Mus musculus: one gene and its partner. The protein of the gene in region 1 interacts with the protein of each later gene in a pairwise test. Links are inferred from orthologs where the notes say so. Each region holds a gene or a part of one and is shown in the gene's direction. Other genes may lie near its edges.

The links.
Region 2: the proteins of Lnx2 (region 1) and Scly interact in binary tests that used the Homo sapiens proteins (3 or more experiments, as listed by UniProt). The link is inferred for Mus musculus from reciprocal best matches to the Homo sapiens genes LNX2 and SCLY.

The regions. Positions count from the first base shown.
Region 1 is NC_000071.6:147,021,036-147,030,112, reverse strand, and holds part of Lnx2 (ligand of Numb protein X 2), read left to right. Parts: intron 1-657; coding exon 658-1,026; intron 1,027-1,922; coding exon 1,923-2,060; intron 2,061-2,728; coding exon 2,729-2,906; intron 2,907-5,529; coding exon 5,530-5,761; intron 5,762-9,077.
Region 2 is NC_000067.6:91,299,239-91,308,315, forward strand, and holds part of Scly (selenocysteine lyase), read left to right. Parts: exon of another isoform or gene 1-165; coding exon of another isoform or gene 166-231; intron 232-1,289; coding exon 1,290-1,402; intron 1,403-3,530; coding exon 3,531-3,631; intron 3,632-6,035; coding exon 6,036-6,216; intron 6,217-9,075; coding exon 9,076-9,077. UniProt on the Homo sapiens protein: Catalyzes the decomposition of L-selenocysteine to L-alanine and elemental selenium.

The DNA.
Region 1 (9,077 bases):
AAAGATCAGTCACTGTAATTGTATCAAGGCTGTACATTCTAATGAGTACATGAATATTGAATTACACTCAGCATATTAAATATGCATTATATGAGTATGCTGATAATTAGAGTGGAATTGTAATTACATACTTTAAAAGTCACTCAGAATATGCAACTTTTTAAGAAATAAAATGATTTATTTTGTCTAAAGTAAGTGTGTTTCGTTAGGTAAAGCAGCTTTGAAGTCCAGGAACCTGAGCCTGCGAGCCTGCGAGCCTGGGAGCACTAGAGCTGTCTGATGTGGCTTGCCCTGCCAGGATGTAGCTAGCCTGCTCTCTCTCACACTGGTTCTGGGAAGTAGAGTGGACCCTGAGGAGCCAAATTCCATATTCCCCCAGGTTACCAATAAATAACTAGCAGACCCGAGGACTGTAATCCCAGAGTGTCACCGACTTCTGTGTCCTAAGTACAACACTGTGCTGTAGTGCATTTTAAATTCTCTGCTGTAAAAGTCTTTAGAGGCCTTTTCCTTGTAGATAGGGATCCTGTAGTGTTTTCTCCATATTGCTTTCCTTTGGAGATGTCATCTGGACATTTCTGCAAGTTAGGAATATAGAATACTATAATGTCATATACATATAAGGTCATAGGAGTTCTGTTTGTCTGTTTGTCGTAGGTCAACAACTATGACATCAGCAACGTGTCCCACAACCACGCCCGGGCCGTGCTTTCCCAGCCCTGCAGCACGCTGCAGCTGACAGTGCTGCGGGAGAGGCGCTTTGGCAGCCGTGCCAACAGCCACGCGGACGGCAGCGCGCCACGGGACGAGGTCTTCCAGGTGCTGCTCCACAAGCGAGACTCGACAGAGCAGCTCGGCATTAAACTAGTCCGAAGGACAGATGAGCCGGGCGTTTTCATTCTTGACCTCCTGGAAGGGGGGCTGGCAGCACAGGACGGCAGGCTCAACAGCAATGACCGGGTGCTGGCCATCAACGGGCATGACCTGAAGCATGGGACCCCAGAGCTCGCTGCCCAGATTATTCAGGTAAATGCCCTGTCCTGAGCCTGGATCCTCACACGGCCGTGTCTGTTTTCACTGGCGCATAACCAGGACCAGCGATGGTTCTTTGGAAAATCAGACATGGTTATCTAAAAAGCAGCCTTCAGAATCTACACTGTTATATATAACTCCCTAAACAGAGCTGTGTTTGTGTGTGTGCCACTTGCTTAGGGTGTTGTGGACTGTTTTCCTAGAGCCTGTGGTCCCATGCACTTGTTTGTACAGTGTTGACACCTCAGTTTTACCTCATTTCAAGAAAAGCAAGGGTTCACGTCAACCAGTAAACTTGTCAAAGCAGTTTCCAAGGACGGCTGAAATGCTGGTTTGGAGCTCTGGGTATGAACAGTAATGACAATGAGCGTGTATTATAAGAAAGCCCAGTAGCCACCTGACACTCCCCACCGTGCGACGTAGCAATCATCTGCCTCTCAGAGCCTGGAGCTGCTGCTGGTGGGTGAATGGCTTAGTGCAGTATCAAAGCTGTTTGTCACTTATTTTCCAACTGAAGAGCAGAAAACACAGCAATTTTTATATTAAATTTAATTTTGCATGTGTGTGTGTGTCTGTGTATATTTGTATGACTGTGTGTGTGTGAGAGTGACTGTGTGTTTCCGTGTAAAAGGTTTGAAAATACTAGCCTGTGACCCTCCTGCCACCAGGTAGTGACTGCCCATGAGGCTTTGCTGAGGGACTAACTGGTACACAGAAAATCACAGTATCCCAGGCACTGCGAAGTGGTAGCATTCACTGGCCTGAGGCTGGAGCCCCCAGCCTTGGGCTACTCAGTGAGAACTTGCCTTGATGAGAGAGAAGAGAATGGGTTCCACTGGCAATCTTTAAGCAATCATCCGTGATGGGTACTGATGAACTGTCTTCCCCAGGCCAGTGGAGAGAGGGTGAACTTAACAATTGCCAGACCAGGGAAGCCCCAGCCCAGCAATGGCAGCCGTGAGGCCGGAGCACACAGCAGCAGCAACCACGCTCAGCCACCCTCGCACAGCCGACCGGGCTCACACAAGGTGAGGGGCGGGTCTCTCCTTCAACCCCTGTGGCCCTCTAAGGATCACCGTTACCCCGAAAAAGGTGTAAGCGTAGGCCTTGTGTATGCCTGCCAGTCACAACACAACGTAAAGTCAGGTCTTTTTGGTTTTGTTTGGTTGGTTGGGTTTTGTCTGTTTTTTTGTTTTAAGCCTGAAATGCAGGCTGTCATTCTGTTGGGGGTCTGAGCCTAGGTGTTTGGGGTTCGCAATCCGAGAGTCTCCTCCCACGTCAGCCACTGTAGTTTCTCATCTGTCTGGTGAGTGACAAGAAGTGACCCTCCAGGACAGTCCTTGTGCTTAGTGCTACCTGGGAGCAGGTTCTCGGCTTGCCTGCTCAGATGTGATCATCAGATTTACCACGAAAAATGCATCGTGAGAACATGATAAAGTCCGTGGTTAGCAGCTAGGCACGTTGCCTACGGGAAGAGAATTAGCTGTGCGAACACTGAGACTGGGGATCGCAGGCTTTGACAGACACGTGGATAGTGTGTGGTTTCATGGTATTAAAATCCCCATCTATTGGCTGGGCAGTGGTGGCACAGGCTGCAGTGCCAGCACTCGGGAGACAGAGGCGGGCGGATCTCTGTGAGTTCAAGGCCAGCCAGAGTGAGTTCCAGGTAAATGCAAGGCCTTCCCTCGAACCGTAGGACCTCACCCGGTGCGTCACGTGCCAGGAGAAGCACATCACTGTAAAGAAGGAGCCGCATGAATCCCTCGGGATGACGGTTGCTGGGGGCAGAGGGAGCAAGAGTGGTGAGCTGCCCATCTTTGTGACCAGCGTGCCACCCCACGGCTGCCTCGCTCGAGACGGCAGGATCAAGAGAGGTAAGGCAGGCAAGAGTCCTGGAAGCTCTGCAAGGTCCAATCTCAGAAGTACAGTCACATTTTTAAGGAGTAATTACTGTGTTTCATGTTAAACCTGACTTTTAAAACTCTTTTAAAAGGGTCCTTGTATAGAAAACGTCGTGTTCTCCTGTAAGGTTAGGAATTAACCCTGACCGTGGTTCGAGACTCTGCAGTTACTCGGACCATCGGCTGATTTTTATCTTGGAAAAGAGCCTCTGAGATTCTTGCGCCCCCGGCCCTGGCAGATAGTGCTGAAGACCATGTCCCTGAAATACAGCGCTGGGTACAGTAAAGCACCCAGGACCCGTGTGATGGCCGAGCAGGGAAAAGCGCCTGCCGTCCAAGCCCAGAACTCAGCAAAGAAGACAGGGTTCTGACACTGCAGAGCGTGTGTGGAGGACAAAGCTAGTTCAGAGATTTGACTCCTTCACACCATGGCCCCCTCAAGTCTGTTAATGTGCACAAGGGAAACCATATAAGTGAGCACTGTTGCCATGACGGAGCAGCCGTCTCTATGGTGAGGTTCACATGGGAAGAAAATTAAAGCTGAAAAGTTATTTTCCCAGGAATGAAGGTGGGCTCCCTCCCCAACCTCACACAAGCAAGCTCACAATGAATTTAAGACCCCGTGTAAAAACTAAGGCCCTTGTGAGGAGCCCACAGGCCAAGTCTTATGGCCTGTAATTAGGCAGTGATGTCTTAGGTAACCTGCAGAGTGGGATGAACAGTAACAAATCATACATTTATGTATGTGTACGTGCCATAGCAAGGAATTGTACAGAACTTTTCCAAATCAGTTAAAACCATACATTACCTAATTTAGGGACAGAAATAGACATTTCTCCTAAGGCGGCAATTGCATGGAAAACAGCTCACCCGACTGCTTGCCAGAGACAGGGTTCTGATGCCCTCAGACTGCTGTAAAATGTTCTCGGGCACGGTGGTGGTGCTCTGCGGCGGGCAGACCAAAGCCCACAGTGCTGGGCGTGTATTTCAACAAGGCTACTATCTTTTCTTAAGGTACTTGGCCAATTATAGAATTTGGTGACAGTTCAGTTCCTTCTTGGGTTTTGGTTGGTTTTGGCTTTGTTGTTGAGCACACATGGGACAAGGGCTTCCCGAGATTTTTTTTTTTTTGACTCCACAGCTATTTGTTTATTTTTGTAGTGCTCTCAGAAATTGAGTTACACAAAACAACAATCCAAACCCCACCTTTCCTCAAGAACTATACAAAAGGGTTGTTTCTGTGACAGCCACTCCTCCATAAATAGTGGCTCCCGAGTCAAGCTACTGCAGGAGCCCTGCCACCACTCCATGCTGCAGCAAACAATGAAGCCCGACAGGGGCCTCCGTCCCCTAACCTGCAGTGGGCTCCGAGCACAGGTTCACGGAGCAAAATGTTGTTCTACACAACAGCAAAAATAAGCCAAATACCTGATTCACACAGGAAGTGCAATGAAGAGGAAAAAAAACCTGCAGATTCCCAGCTTAACAAGCTCCCAGTTTTATGTTCTCTCTGTACACACATGCTACCACTACCATCTGAACAACTCTAACCTTTCTCAGCCCCTTTATGTAAGAGGAGGAAAACATTGTAGCTAGCCTGCACAAAAGACACAGTCTGGTTGTTATAAGCCAGAAGCCTAGGCAGGTTTGGAGCGATTCTAACTTACATCCCAGCCATTATGTCCCTCGTTACTTGCTGTTTCTCCTGGCCACATGTTCATGGTCCGTCTCCTCTCATGGCGGCAGCCACCACCTCCGTGTTCTTTTTTCTCCTCCCTTTGGCCTCACCTGAGACTCCTCACTCGGTCCTCAAGTTCTACCTTTCTCCCTCCACTGCCCAGTCACAGGCTCTAGCCTTTTATTGACCAATTGGGGAGCAAGGTTCTCGTAGCATCACTTGGTATATGGGAGGATCTGCTCATGGAGGCAGCCATGTCTTGGGGAGCAGTACTTAACGTTTGAATATATAGCAGCGTCAGACCAACCCCCTACACTTGTATCCTTTAATAATCCCCGTGTCTCCTTTTTATTGTTTTGTTTTATCTTATTTTATTTCATCTAACTTGGGAGACCAACAAACATGCTGCTCCCCTTCAAGCAAGGGAAGATGTTTCATATCACCAAGTGTCCCGAGAGTGGCTGCTCTCATGATCTGGGATGTGTGCCCTGTATGTATAAAATTGTGTAATATTAAATAGAATCTGTTAAAAAAAAAAAGTGATTTCTAAAAGCAAAGGATCAGATGGTTTGGTGTTCAGAAAGAACTGTAGAGCTCTCAGAAGCTCAAGAGGGAAGTTGTCACCCTCATCCTGTACACAGCTACCCAGATGGTGACTCAGACTCGGGGGCCTCACAAGGTGCTTCAAGCCACAGTGTGCTCCTCTGGAGTCTGACCTTGTTTGAGTTCCAAGCTGTTTTAAAATGTTTCCTACGAGTTGTCCTTGGTAGCACAGAAAAGCACAAATGCTTTTGTAAAACCCCACTTCCACCCATCCAAGCTCTTGAAACCGCCCCATCAATTAGTTGGCAAGCAGGAGCTTCGGGGAGTCACGTGGTACTAGGGTCACTCACTCTCCTGGCCTTCCCAACGGCACAGGTGACGTGTTGCTGAACATCAACGGCATTGACCTGACCAACCTAAGTCACAGCGAGGCTGTGGCCATGCTGAAAGCCAGCGCTGCGTCTCCGGCCGTCATCCTCAAGGCCCTGGAAGTGCAGATCGCCGAGGAAGCAGCCCAGGCCACCGAGGAGCAGCCGAGCGCCTTCAGTGAGAACGAGTACGACGCCAGCTGGTCCCCGTCCTGGGTCATGTGGCTCGGGCTGCCAAGGTACCAAGAGCTCTCTCGGTCTGATGTCTCAGAGTGAGCGTGTTTTAACTTTTATCAGTTACACGGTTAACTCACCCAGTGCGTAGAGAGGGCGTTAGTTAGGTAAAGTGCACCAAATTATAAAAGCAAAAAAGTGTATCTTCTTGTAAAACGAAGACAATTCCCTTTAAGGAGGGATTTTTGTTTGTTGTTGTTTTGGGGGTTTTGTTTTGTTTAGTGTTTTTGAGGGGGGGCGGCACTGCGTCTCCCCCTTGTACATGGGCTGAGAGTCCAGGCACACACCACCACACCTGGCTTTTCTGTTTGGGCTCTGGGAATCCAGACTCAGGGCCTCACACTTGTACAGGAGAGTTTCTGGGGCAGGGTCTCACTCTGTAGCCTAGGCTAGCCAAGAGCTTAGAATCATTTTGTAAAAAGGTAGTTAGAACTGAGTCTGTACTGAACAAAGGAGACGTGACCAGCAAGCTGCTCTCTGGCTGGCCGGTAGGGACCAGGGAAACGTTGGAACCTCCCTGGCACCCTGGGGTGCTTGCCTTTCTCCAGATGGTTGCTGCTGGTGCTGAGATAGGAAGAGCGTGTGTTACTGTGCTTATTTGTGTCTAAAGTAATTTAGATTCTCATTATCTATAAAAAGCATGGTGAAGCATGTTTGACTATTAGCCAAGTACGAAGCTGCTGGTTCCTAAATAAAAATAAACCAGAACGCTGCACCACTTTCTGAGTCATCTGCCTCATGTGGGGTAAGGTAGTGTACAGCCAGGAGCGCTTCCCGCACGCTGTGCGCTCCGTGAAGAACTCTCTCATGAGGAACAGCAGGTACCTCCGAGGGGTTGCGTTCATTCGCTCCTGCCCCAGCTCTCTGGCTGGCTCCCGGGAGCTCTTGGTGGTTTTGTTTCTTGGTTTTCAATCCCAAGGCCTAGAAGTGATGTCTCGCAGACGTGGCAGGACCTTGTGGAGTGGGATTGATGATGGGAAAGTGACCTTCTTGTGTCCTGCATGTTTATCAGGGCATCAGCCCTGGGAGTCAGAGGCTGCAGAGATGGCTCTGTGGATCTGAGCACTTGGCGTTCTTGCAAGGGCCCCTGGTATGGTTCCTGGCACCCCCATGACGGCTCCCAACTGTCTGCAGTTTCAGAGGCTCCCACACCCTCTTCTGTCCCCGCTGGCACTGCACATACATGGTGCACATATACATACATGTAGGAAACAGACATTCACATAGAATGGATCCTTTTTGAAAACCGGGCGCAAATGATTACTATCCCACTGCTGCAAGAGCTACTGTCTAAACCAGGGAACTCAGGAGTCTTGTTCAGCTGATACCTGGGTAGTCAGGTTCATCCCAGAGTGGCTGGGAGACAAGGATGGAACCCGAAGACACAGGCAGGTGGATCTCTGTTATTTTGAGGCCAGCCTGGTCCACATAGTGAGATACAGGATAGCCAGGGCTGTCTCAACGACAAAACAAAACAACAATAAAGAGGTTAGAAGCTGTTTGCCCGGACAATGGGGGATCGGTCAGAATAGCAACCTCCTAGGAAATCCCGGGACCCTGGTGCTGCCTTTAGCTGGCTCTGTGCCAGCCTGGTTTGGGGGCTGCATGTTCTCACTGTTGTGCATTGCATTTTATGGCACGCCAGGCATAGCAAGAAAGGATTTGTGTCATCTGTGTGTGCGTGTGTGTGTGTGTTTGTATGTATCTGTGTGTTTGTATCTGTTTGCATCAGTGTGTGTGGTGTGAGGGTGTGTGTGTGTGTGTGTGTGTGTCCCCGTCCACGAGTGAGTGTGTGTGTGTGTGTGTGTGTGTGTGTGTGTGTGTGTGTGTGTGTGTGTAGGCTGAAGATCAACATCCGCTGTCTTCCTTGATGGCTCTACACCTTTGCTTGTTGAGGCAGCATCTCTCACTGAACCGTTTGGCTAGGCTGGTAGCCAGTGAGCTTTTGGGGTCTGCCTAGCGCTGCTGCCCCCGCCCCGTGCCCAGCACTGTGGTTACAGATGTAAGTTGCCCCATGTCCGGCTTTTTTTATGTGGGTCCTGTAGCTTACCAGGCAAGAACTTTAGCAACTGAGCCAGCCCCTCCCCTCAGCTCAGAAAGGGTTTTAGACAAGTTGTCACAAGTTGACAGTATAGTGAGATACATTTTTGAGCTTGCCTGAATGGATGCCTATACATATAGGCTATTGTGTGGCCTGAGTTCCCCTGCACTGCCCTGCTACACCGGATGCTGGCCTGCTTGCTGTAAAGGATGCAGAGCTATGAAGGTGACTGTACTGTGCCTGAGGATCTGGGCCAGGGGTGAGACTTCCGGCTTGCCAGAGCCTCTTTAGAAGTCCCTACCCCTGAGCTAAGGGTTGTGGCACCATGCTGGAGGTTGTTTGTCATTTGTAGCAGATTAGAAACCAGATAGCCTTGTCTCTGATATTTGTATTAGTTCCGGTGGGGACAAACAAATCACAAGCAACATGAGGAGGAGGAGGAGGAAGGCTTGTTTCACATGTTGAGGCTGTGGCCATCAAGGCAGAGAGGGAGGGCTGGCTCTGAGGATGGAGCCTGAGGCAACTGCTAGTCACCGGCATCCTGAGGCAGATGGTCACATGACATCCTGAGGCAGCAGAGATGACAGCTGGTGCTCAGCACACCTCCTCTTTGTCCCTTTTTATTCAGTGTGGGACTCTGGGGTGGTGGTATCCACACTCAGGGTGCATCTTCCCAAAGGTGAGTCTCCCAGGTAATTCCCAACCCAGTCAGGTTGATGATGAAGATCACTGCATACCCGATTTCACTTCCCAGTGAGGACTTTTTTTTTTTTTTTTTTTTTTTTTTTTTTTGGTTTTTCGAGACAGGGTTTCTCTGTATAGCCCTGGCTGTCCTGGAACTCACTTTGTAGACCAGGCTGGCCTCGAACTCAGAAATCCACCTGCCTCTGCCTCCCAAGTGCTGGGATTAAAGGTGTGCGCCTCCACGCCCGGCTCCCAGTGAGGACTTTTATTAAAAGGATTTCACTTTGTTTGTTTTTAAGATCTTACTTGCTGCTTATTCCCAGGTTCATAGACCGCTGGACATATAAGTGTAGTGTGCCCCCTCCCTCCCTGGCTAGCATCCTCCAAGCCATGAGTAGGCAGCACTTTGCCTGTAGCATCTCTGTGCTCATGGAGAACAATGTGTTTGTTGGTGTTCTCCAGGCCGAGCTGCCGTTAGAGTCTCCCAGAAAGGTGTGAGTCCTTGTGAGTCCAGGGGAAGGGACAATATCAGCCCCTCCTCTAAATTAAAGCACCACCCTGTAGCATGCTTCCAGAAAGGGCCACCGTCCAAATTT
Region 2 (9,077 bases), on another chromosome or scaffold:
GACGTTTATTAAGCAGTTTCACTTTCTCTAGGAAGCCCGCTAATAACAGAGTCAATCGCTGATAAAATGCAAACCATAAACCAGTTCGGCCAAGCTATAGATGGGAAAACCAGTCACTTGGCAGGCCTATGGGTGTGCAGCACTTTGGGGGCTCTTTATTTCTAGGAAGGAACAGACTTGGGACACAGGCAAAGCCTGCGGCAATGGGAATTCCAGCCCCAGGGTGGTCAGGTAGGTCCACATTACAAAGCCCAGCCTTGCAAGATCAGGTGACTGCGTGGCACTTAAAGCAAAGATAGGAGATGAAAGCTTCTTCCTGCCTGTTCTGCCGTGCTCCCCTGGACATAGTTGGGCAGTGTGTGCTGGCTCACCACTGCATCGGCTTGAACACTGGTTTGATGTAAAACCAAGTGAAATAATGACTGTTTTCAGGCCCGATTGCCTACCATAGAGATTTCCGAAGGTCTGGGACCCTGGTGAGAACACAAGCAGATAACTCTCCTTAGGGAGGGTCTCTGGGGCTTTGAACTCTGTGTCCTGTGGATGAAGTTCCTACATAGGAAGACAAAGCCTGCTTGTTCCTGGAGCTGCTCATCACTTGCTCCCTAGAGAGGACACTAAGCATGTGACTCTTGGGTCAGATGATGAATGGGTCCACAGCGGAAGACAGGGAGGGAGGGAGGGAAGGAAGAGGGCCAGGCTGCGTGCGGCCTACAGTTTCCAATCGAACCCTGGAGCCTCATCCAAACAGATCTGCTGAAGCACAGACTTTAAAAAGTTTAGGTAGAGTGGGGGTGGGGCAAGAAAAACTGAAAATGCAAGTTGCCCCAGGGAGAGACCTGCCCAGTAAAAGCCAGGGAGGGGACAGCCATAGCCCTGGGAAGCCTCCAGCAAAGATGAGTACAAAGCTCCTTCCTAGAGGCAGTTCCTGGAGGACTGGAAGGGGCAGATGGCTCCAAGTTGTTGGGAAATTACCCAGGGGAATGTGGGACTCCCCAGCCATTGGCAGATCCTTCCTCCCTCCCTTCCTGGAGTTGGGCCGCATCTCTGGCCTCCAGCCATCAGTCAGCCTCATGCTAGGGGAGATTATGGCCATCTTGTATGGGGCAGCTACTGGGTGACTGGAAACCATGGTGTCTCCCATCAGGAGGGAGAACATGGAGAGCTGAGGTCTAATAGCCTACCTGGGCCTTCACTCTAGATGCAGAAGACCCTCACTGTGGTCCCCCAAAAGAGTATTGCTGCTATACTCTGCCTCCCCAAACTTTACAGGCTATTCTCTCTTCCAGGAAGGTCTATATGGACTATAATGCCACCACACCTCTAGAGCCCGAAGTCATCCAGGCTGTGACAGAGGCCATGAAGGAAGCCTGGGGAAACCCCAGCAGCTCCTATGTGTCAGGTAATCTAGAAGAATCCATGACAATAAAGGGAACCAGAAGCCTCTTAGAGAAAGTGTATACTAACCTGACTTGGTGGCATGTGCCTTTAATCCCAGCACTCAGAGGCAGACTGCTCTCAGAGTTCAAAGCCAGCCTGGTCTACAAAGTGAGTTCCTGGACAGCCAGGGCTACCTAAACTGAGAATCCGTGTCTCAAATAAAAAACAAACAAAAATGGGTGGGGGTATATAAAGTGTATGCTTACATGAGATGGTTTTGTTTGGGAATGGGGTGGACTTTCATTTTTCTTTCAACTTTAAAGTTAGTACAATGCCTATATTGCTTAACAGAATTCCCAAGAGTTTTTTTTTAAGCACACTTTAGAAAAATGGAAACAAAATAATTACGTTCTAATCTTTAAGCATTGTGTCACTAAAGTCTACATAGTGTCTTCTATGTAAATTAGCATCATGTTACAATTATATACCTGACTTGATTCTTAAAGTCTTCTGTCCCTGTATGATATCCTAGCTAGGAACTACACATCCCACAGGCTGGGATTAAAGGCATGTGCCACCACTGCCAGGCTTATAATTATATTCTTACTTCTTTCTAGTTTGCCTTTGTGGTGTAGAGTTTTAAATTTTTGCATTTTTGGATGATAATTTGCTTCAAGTCAGTAGTCAAAAAGACAGCATTCCACATTTTCTCCACAGACTTGGAGGCTAATCATGCTTTGCCTTCCTAGTTAATGTTTATCAGCAGAAGGCAAGGGCCCCGCACCCAGCCCTGCACTGTGTAATTAGGGTAACTAAGACAAGCCACATTAATGATGGTTTATTGGGAAATGAGTGCCAGCCAGGGGACTAAAGATGACCCAAGCTAACTGATCTGCCACCAGGTCTTACTGGTACCTCTGTCCCTCCGTAAGGGGTTTGGTGGGTCATAGCAGTTGCTTATTGAAAGCTCCCCAGCAACTCAGTGACACAGACTTTCCAGATCAGATGCTAGTCACCCATTAACTTGTCTGTTGCCTTATTTCTGGACATTGCCATCTGCCTAATGTCCCCTGTAGTATAGTCAAACTTCTGTTAGGGTACACTAGAGAAGGCCAAGAAGATTAAGGGTCAACAGGAAGTGGGGCACACAGTGGGAGACCGTTGCTGGCCTGGGTGACATCCCAGCTGCTTTCTGTTGATATTTGAGTAGAAATGCCAAGAAAAGTGAAAATCATGAATCACAAATGTTTGCCTGTCTTGTTTTCAAGGCAGATGGGATCTCACTGTGTAGCTCTGGCTTCCGGGAATTTACTCTGTAGCCCAAGCCTGCCTCAAATTCACAGAGATCCACCTGTGTCTGCCTCCAGAGTGCTAGGATTAAAGGCATGTACCACCACCCCAGCTCATCACAGATGTTTTAGTGTGTCACAGTATTAGGTTTTAAAATCTACAGCAATGTGTGCTGAGGTTCTGTGGGAAGAGTTTGAGTGCTCCAGATGTGGCCTTGCTTGTAACAGCCAACAGCATTTGGAAGTGAGCGGAGAAGGGGAGAGGTTCTGGCCTACTGGGCAGCATGGGAAAGCTGGTCTGGACCCAGCATCAAATGTAGGGACCACTGGTATGTTGGCTGAGAGCCGCATAGAGCCACCTTCCTCTGACACAGTGTTCAGTGCAACTGGGCAGCAGCCAGGACACCTAATTGAAGGCAAATGCTTCCAACCTTCCTCCTGTGTCTCCCAAGGCTGACCTGAGGTTGAGAGAAGGCACTGGCTGACCGGGTGTGTAAAGCCTCATGTTCTGTTTGGTTACTTCTGTGGTTCCTTGTCCTATCATGAATGGTGGGAAGGTGGGCGGCTAGCCATAGCACCCCCTCCTCTAGCATCCAGTAAGAAAGAAAAGCTGTGCTGGGGGAGCCTAGATTCCCCCCAACCAAGCTGCCCCTGGCTCTCACTGAGTTCCGGTGGTGGGCACTGACTTCCTAAGTCTCTCAATGTGGCCCCTTTGCTGATGCCCCACCAAGTGGTAGGAAAGTGTGCTCCTTTTAGTGGGTGTGTCTCCTTTTAGAATCACCCCAGTCCTTGGCTTCCCTTATCTAGTTGCTCTGTTAGATGTGGAATTGCTAGTAATGACCATGTTTTTTGTCCTTCAAGGTAGGAAGGCCAAGGACATTATAAATGCAGCTCGAGCGAGCCTGGCCAAGATGATAGGTGGAAAGCCCCAGGACATCATCTTCACTTCTGGGGGCACCGAGGTAAAGCTGCTGCCTTTACCAAAAGGCAATGATGGGGTAGGGGTGGGGTCACATCAGGAACAGTTGTTAGCTGTGGATCACAGGTTACTTCAGCCACAGCAGTTTTTAGATTAAAAGTCAATTGGTTTGGGGGTTTTTTGTTTGGTTGGTTGGTTTTAGTTTGTTGGTTGATTGGTTGGTTGGTTGGTTTTTGCTTCTTGTTTTTTGTTTTGTTTTGTGTCTGTAATAGGCATTGACCAGGACATAAAAATGTCACTTAGGAAATAGATCCAGTAGAAAAGAACTGGTGAGACCTCCCAGGGAGGTGACAGACATTTCCTGGGGCCTCCTAAGAAGTTCTGACCCTGCTTTGCAGATTGGAGGATGTGGGTTCTTTTAAAACCAATCAGCTGACTCAGTACAGCCTCTGTTAAAATTCTGACAATGAACTCTCACAAATGAACTCATGTAGAAGCTAAGAGTCAAGGCTTCTGGAAGATTAGCTGCCCAATGAGAAGGGTGGACACTCCCCAAACCAAGACTGTAAGAGCTCCCATAGCTACGCAGACAGCTTTAGCAAGGATAGACATTTGGTCAGAGACAGTGTGTCAGTGCGAACACTTGCTGCGAGACTAGGTGGCCACACATCTTGCCTGCTCAGGACAGGCCTGGACAGCCATTGTCCATACAGTAGTAGGGCATAAGACTGTCATGTGAGTGAGTGGGCAGATCGTAGGGAACCCTGCCTAACTGTGCTGCCACTGGACCCAGGAGTCAACTTCTGCTGTTCAGCAGAGATGGGACCAAGAAGTGACATTAGAAAGTCCTTAGCTGGGGGCTGGAGAGATGGATTGGCGGTTAAGAGCACTGGCTGCTCTTCCGAAGGTCCTGTGTTCAATTCCCAGCAACCACATGGTGGCTTTCGGCCATCCATAATGGAATACCCTCTTCTGGTGTGTCTGAAGACAGCTACAGTGTACTCATATAAATAAAATAAATCTTTAAAAAAAAAAAAGAAAAAGAAAGTCCTTAGCTGCTGCCTCAGTACCTCTGTAGTGTCTGACAACGAAAGGTTTCTCAAAGCAAGTGTGGATAGGGTCTACTTTAAAGGAGAGCATTGGGCTGGGCAGCCGAGGCAGGAAGATCACATGTATGAGCCAAAACCAACCAGGGAGACACTGAATTGTGTTCCAGCAAACAGTAACAGATAAACTTTGCATTATCGGAGAATACTTCAAGGAAAGTCAAAGAGCATTTGAAAAAGGCTTTCATCTCACGGAGCTGACCAACAGCTAGCACCCAGGACAGCTGGGGGACTCGCACAACTCACAGGGGGATAACAGCCAGCAAACGAGTCAGAGACTTTGTATTAGTCAGCGGTCTCTAGAGTCACAGAACTTATGGGTCATCTCTATATAGTAAGGGAATTTGTTGATGACTTACAGTCTGTAGTCCAACTCCCAACAATGGTCAGCAGCAGCTGTGTGAATGGAAGTCAAAGGATCTAGCAGTTGCTCAGTCCCACAAGGCAAGCAGGCAGAAGGAGAGAAAGAGTGTAAATCTTCCTTCTTCCAACGTCCTTATGTAGGTCTCCAGCAGAAGGTGTGGCCCAGATTAAAGGTATGTACCACCATGCCTTTAATCCCAGATGACCTTGAACTCACACGTCTCCCTGTCTTAATGTTTGGAATTCATAGCCACTATGCCTCAAGATCTCTATACCAAGATCCAGATCAGAAACTTCTATCTCCCAGCCTCCAGATTAGGATCACTGGTGAGCCTTCCAATTCTGGATTGTAGTTAATTCCAGATATAGTCAAGTTGACCACCAGGAATAGCCACTACAGATTTGAACACAGGTGCGGCCATGAGGGAAGCCCCAGGGCTTTCTACCCTTCCCAGCCTCTCCTGACCAGTGCAGAAGTGTAAATGCTAGTGCTAACTGGGAATAATGTACCCTGAGGCAGAACAGGTGACTCACAGGCTCTGGGGAGAAAAGAAACTCCGAGGCAGATTCTGCTGGCCAGGATCTGGGGCCAAATACTGTGTGGAATAGCTTGCGCTCTGATGGCAGAGGTATATTTTAACTTTAATTTGATTTTTTATTTTTTTCTTTTATCTTATATTTGTGCCTGTGTATCCCTCCAGCTTGTGTTCCTCCAGCGTGGGGTAGAATTCTTCTTCTTGTCAGATTTATGTAATATGAAAGTTTGGGCTTACTAACAAAACAGACACACTTGAAGTGAGCTCTAGAGTATTTAATGTTCGGAGCTGTCTGAAGGCGCAGGCCTGTCAGGAGGTTGGTTTTCTCTGGGTTTTTCCTTTTGCTGTGTTAGGCAGGAAGGAGAATAATGAGCGATTGAGAGCTTCCTCTCTCTCCACTGGCAGCTTTGGTGAAGGCTCTCTCTCTGTTGTGTCTCTGCAGTCAAATAATTTAGTAATCCACTCTATGGTAAGATGCTTCCATGAACAGCAGACCCTGAAGGGGAACATGGTTGACCAGCACAGCCCAGAAGAGGGGACCAGGCCCCATTTTATCACTTGCACAGTGGAACACGACTCCATCCGGCTGCCCCTGGAGCACCTGGTGGAAAATCAAATGGCAGGTTAGTGACCGTGGGGACCATCCTGGACCTCAGTGAGGAGATAGAGAGGCCACTCAGAACCCGGTTCACACACCCTGCAGACGTGTGTACCGAATCATTTTGGCCTCTTCAGAAGCTGATGGCTGTTCCCGGCTGTTCGCACTGTTCTTACGTTCAGCTGTTATGGATAAAGCTGCATAAGCTGCCTAGGGAGAGTGTTTGTGTGGGAGTTGGATCGGAATTGCTGGGTCGTACAGAAACCGAGTTTAAGCTGAGCGGTGGCGGTGGTGGCCATGCATGCCTTAAATCCCAGCACTCAGGAGGCAGAGTCAGGCGAATCTCTGTTAGTTCAGTGCCACCCTGTTCTATGAAGCTAGTTCAGGGACAGCCAGGGATACACAGATAGAGAGACCCTGTCTTGAAACCATATGTGACAGATTCTTGGGTAGACTTGATTAACCTTAGTCTTTGCTTTCCAGTCAATGTCACCATCTGACACCACCACCGACAGTCTCTTCTCTTTGCTGGAGCTTCTTGTCCGTCTGTTCTGTCGCAGTCACCATCATCGGGCCAACCTCTGTGGTCTTTCGGTGCCTACCGTCTTTTCACACTGTCTTGGCTATTTTGTATACGTCTCCTTTGTAGGACTCTCTGCTCATGTTCTTGGCCTTTCTGGTTTTATTTTTGCTGTTTGGTGGTGTTGGGGATTGATCACAGGACCTCAAGTGTGCTAGTCCAGTACTCCACCGCTAACAGTTGAGGCCGCCAGCGGCCCACGTGTCTGGGTTCTAGCCTGGGAAGCATCTTGGAATCTGGAAGAAAAGAGGGAACTAGGCGGCACGAGAGAGAATGGAACCAAGACATCAATCAGTCTGATCAAGGTTCAATTTTACTATTCCGAGACAGCAGGTTATGAAGAAGGGGGAGGGGCCCATTCCCGCCAAATCATCCTTGGAGTCCAGTTGCAGGTGACCACGTGTTTGGCTCCAGAACAGCTAGGCGGCAGGTAGTAGCAGTGGGAGTGGCAGACCGATAGGGTGGCAGGCTCCACCCCTGATGCTCTCCTAGCAGTCAAACCTGGCCAGCCAGATTTCAGGCTGAGAGGGAGAGGTTACAGCTCAGTCCCTTGCCCTAAGTTTTACTGCTTATCTTTCTATTGACTTACACGAATTTCACATATATTTGACACAAGCCAACTAACTTTTGATGAGGTCTACTTGCTTTTGGCTTTTATTTTTGTTTTCTGTCTTGTGTCATATATAAGAAGACTTCACCCTACCCCATGTCATGAAGATGCCATCCCAGCGCCTAGTAGGTTTTCAGTTTTGATTCTTTTTTTTTTTTTTTTTTTTTGGTTTTTCGAGACAGGGTTTCTCTGTGTAGTCCTGGCTGTCCTGGAACTTGCTCTGTAGACCAGGCTGGCCTCGAACTCAGAAATTCACCTGCCTCTGCCTCCCAAGTGCTGGGATTAAAGGCGTGCGCCACCACGCCCGGCTTCAGTTTTGATTCTTACGGTTAAGTCTGTGGTGCACTGTGAGCTAGGAGTAAGAATTTGTGTCTTTGTATGAGATTGGCTCTCTTTTTATGTTTTGAAAACTAGATTGTATGTACAGCGGTGCAATTGAGATATTAAACAATGCTCTAGTAGAATGATTTGATATGGTTTTATCTAACCTCTTGCTTCCAATCTCTGTATCACCAAATCTGACATTTTGCTCAAAGATGGAAGGTGACCCATTGATGACAGCCATAAGAGCCACTGAGACATCCCATGGGGCTGGTCTATGTGTCCTCTAGTGTGGTGGAACCCAGCCCTGGAACCCCAGCTTTGGTTCACAAAGTTCCAGGGGTGCTTCTCTCCAAACCGTAAAGCCCAGACCACCCTGTGAGAGACCCCAACACCGGCCCAGGTGGGAAGAAAAGTGGGAGACACATCCAGATCCCCAGAAATGGCTTCAGATGGATTCCTTTTGTCGTGTCTTGTCTGATGCCTGACTCTATCTGGCCCATGTGTGCTGGCCTGTTGTCCTTCTATCTTTTGTCACAGTAGGGTTTTTAAAATAATTTTTCAATATAAAAGTGAATTTTCTTACAGATTCACTTATAAGAATTTATGTAAGCGAGGCTGGCAAGATGGCTCAGCAGGTAAGAGCACTGACTGCTCTTCTGAAGGTCCTGAGTTCAAATCCTAGCACCATATGGTGGCTCACAACCATGCGTAATGAGACTTGATGCCCTCTTCTGGTGCATCTGAAGACAGCTACAGTGTACTTATTTATAATAATAAATAAATCTAAAAAAATAAAATAAAATAAATAAAAGGATTTATATAAGGAATGAATGTGCTGCCTGGAAGAGCAAGACATGCTGAAGAAGACTTCTCTCTCTCTCTTTGGAGATGGAACATAGTTGATCTCATATTTTGCACACATCCATGGTCATGCACAAATCCATCCCAAGACACAGAGGCTGGAGAGGGCTTGCGTGCACTGGCTGTCTTTGTTCTGACTTCTCTAAGGAGTGTCTGTCTGCAGATGATGGGACAGCCAGCTGTTAGACTCCACTGACTGTGGGCAGAAATTGGCTAGAACCTATCCCAGTTCTCTGTGGGCCTTTTGTCTGGCCCTGGAAAATCCTCTTTTTGCTATTTCTCCCTGGATGCAACTGCTAATGTGTCACCTAAGGTATTACCTGTTGCCATGGTGAGGCTAACTTCCTGTAGCTACTCACTACCTAAGCCTTGCTGTTGTGAGGCCTGAACTTCTCAGTGGACAGCACTTCTAATGGCTTCTGAACTTGGATGATACATTCCTCGTTTTAAAAATAGAATTGTGGAGTTATTTGCACGGCTAACCTTAGTATATATGTTTTGTATCTCAGAG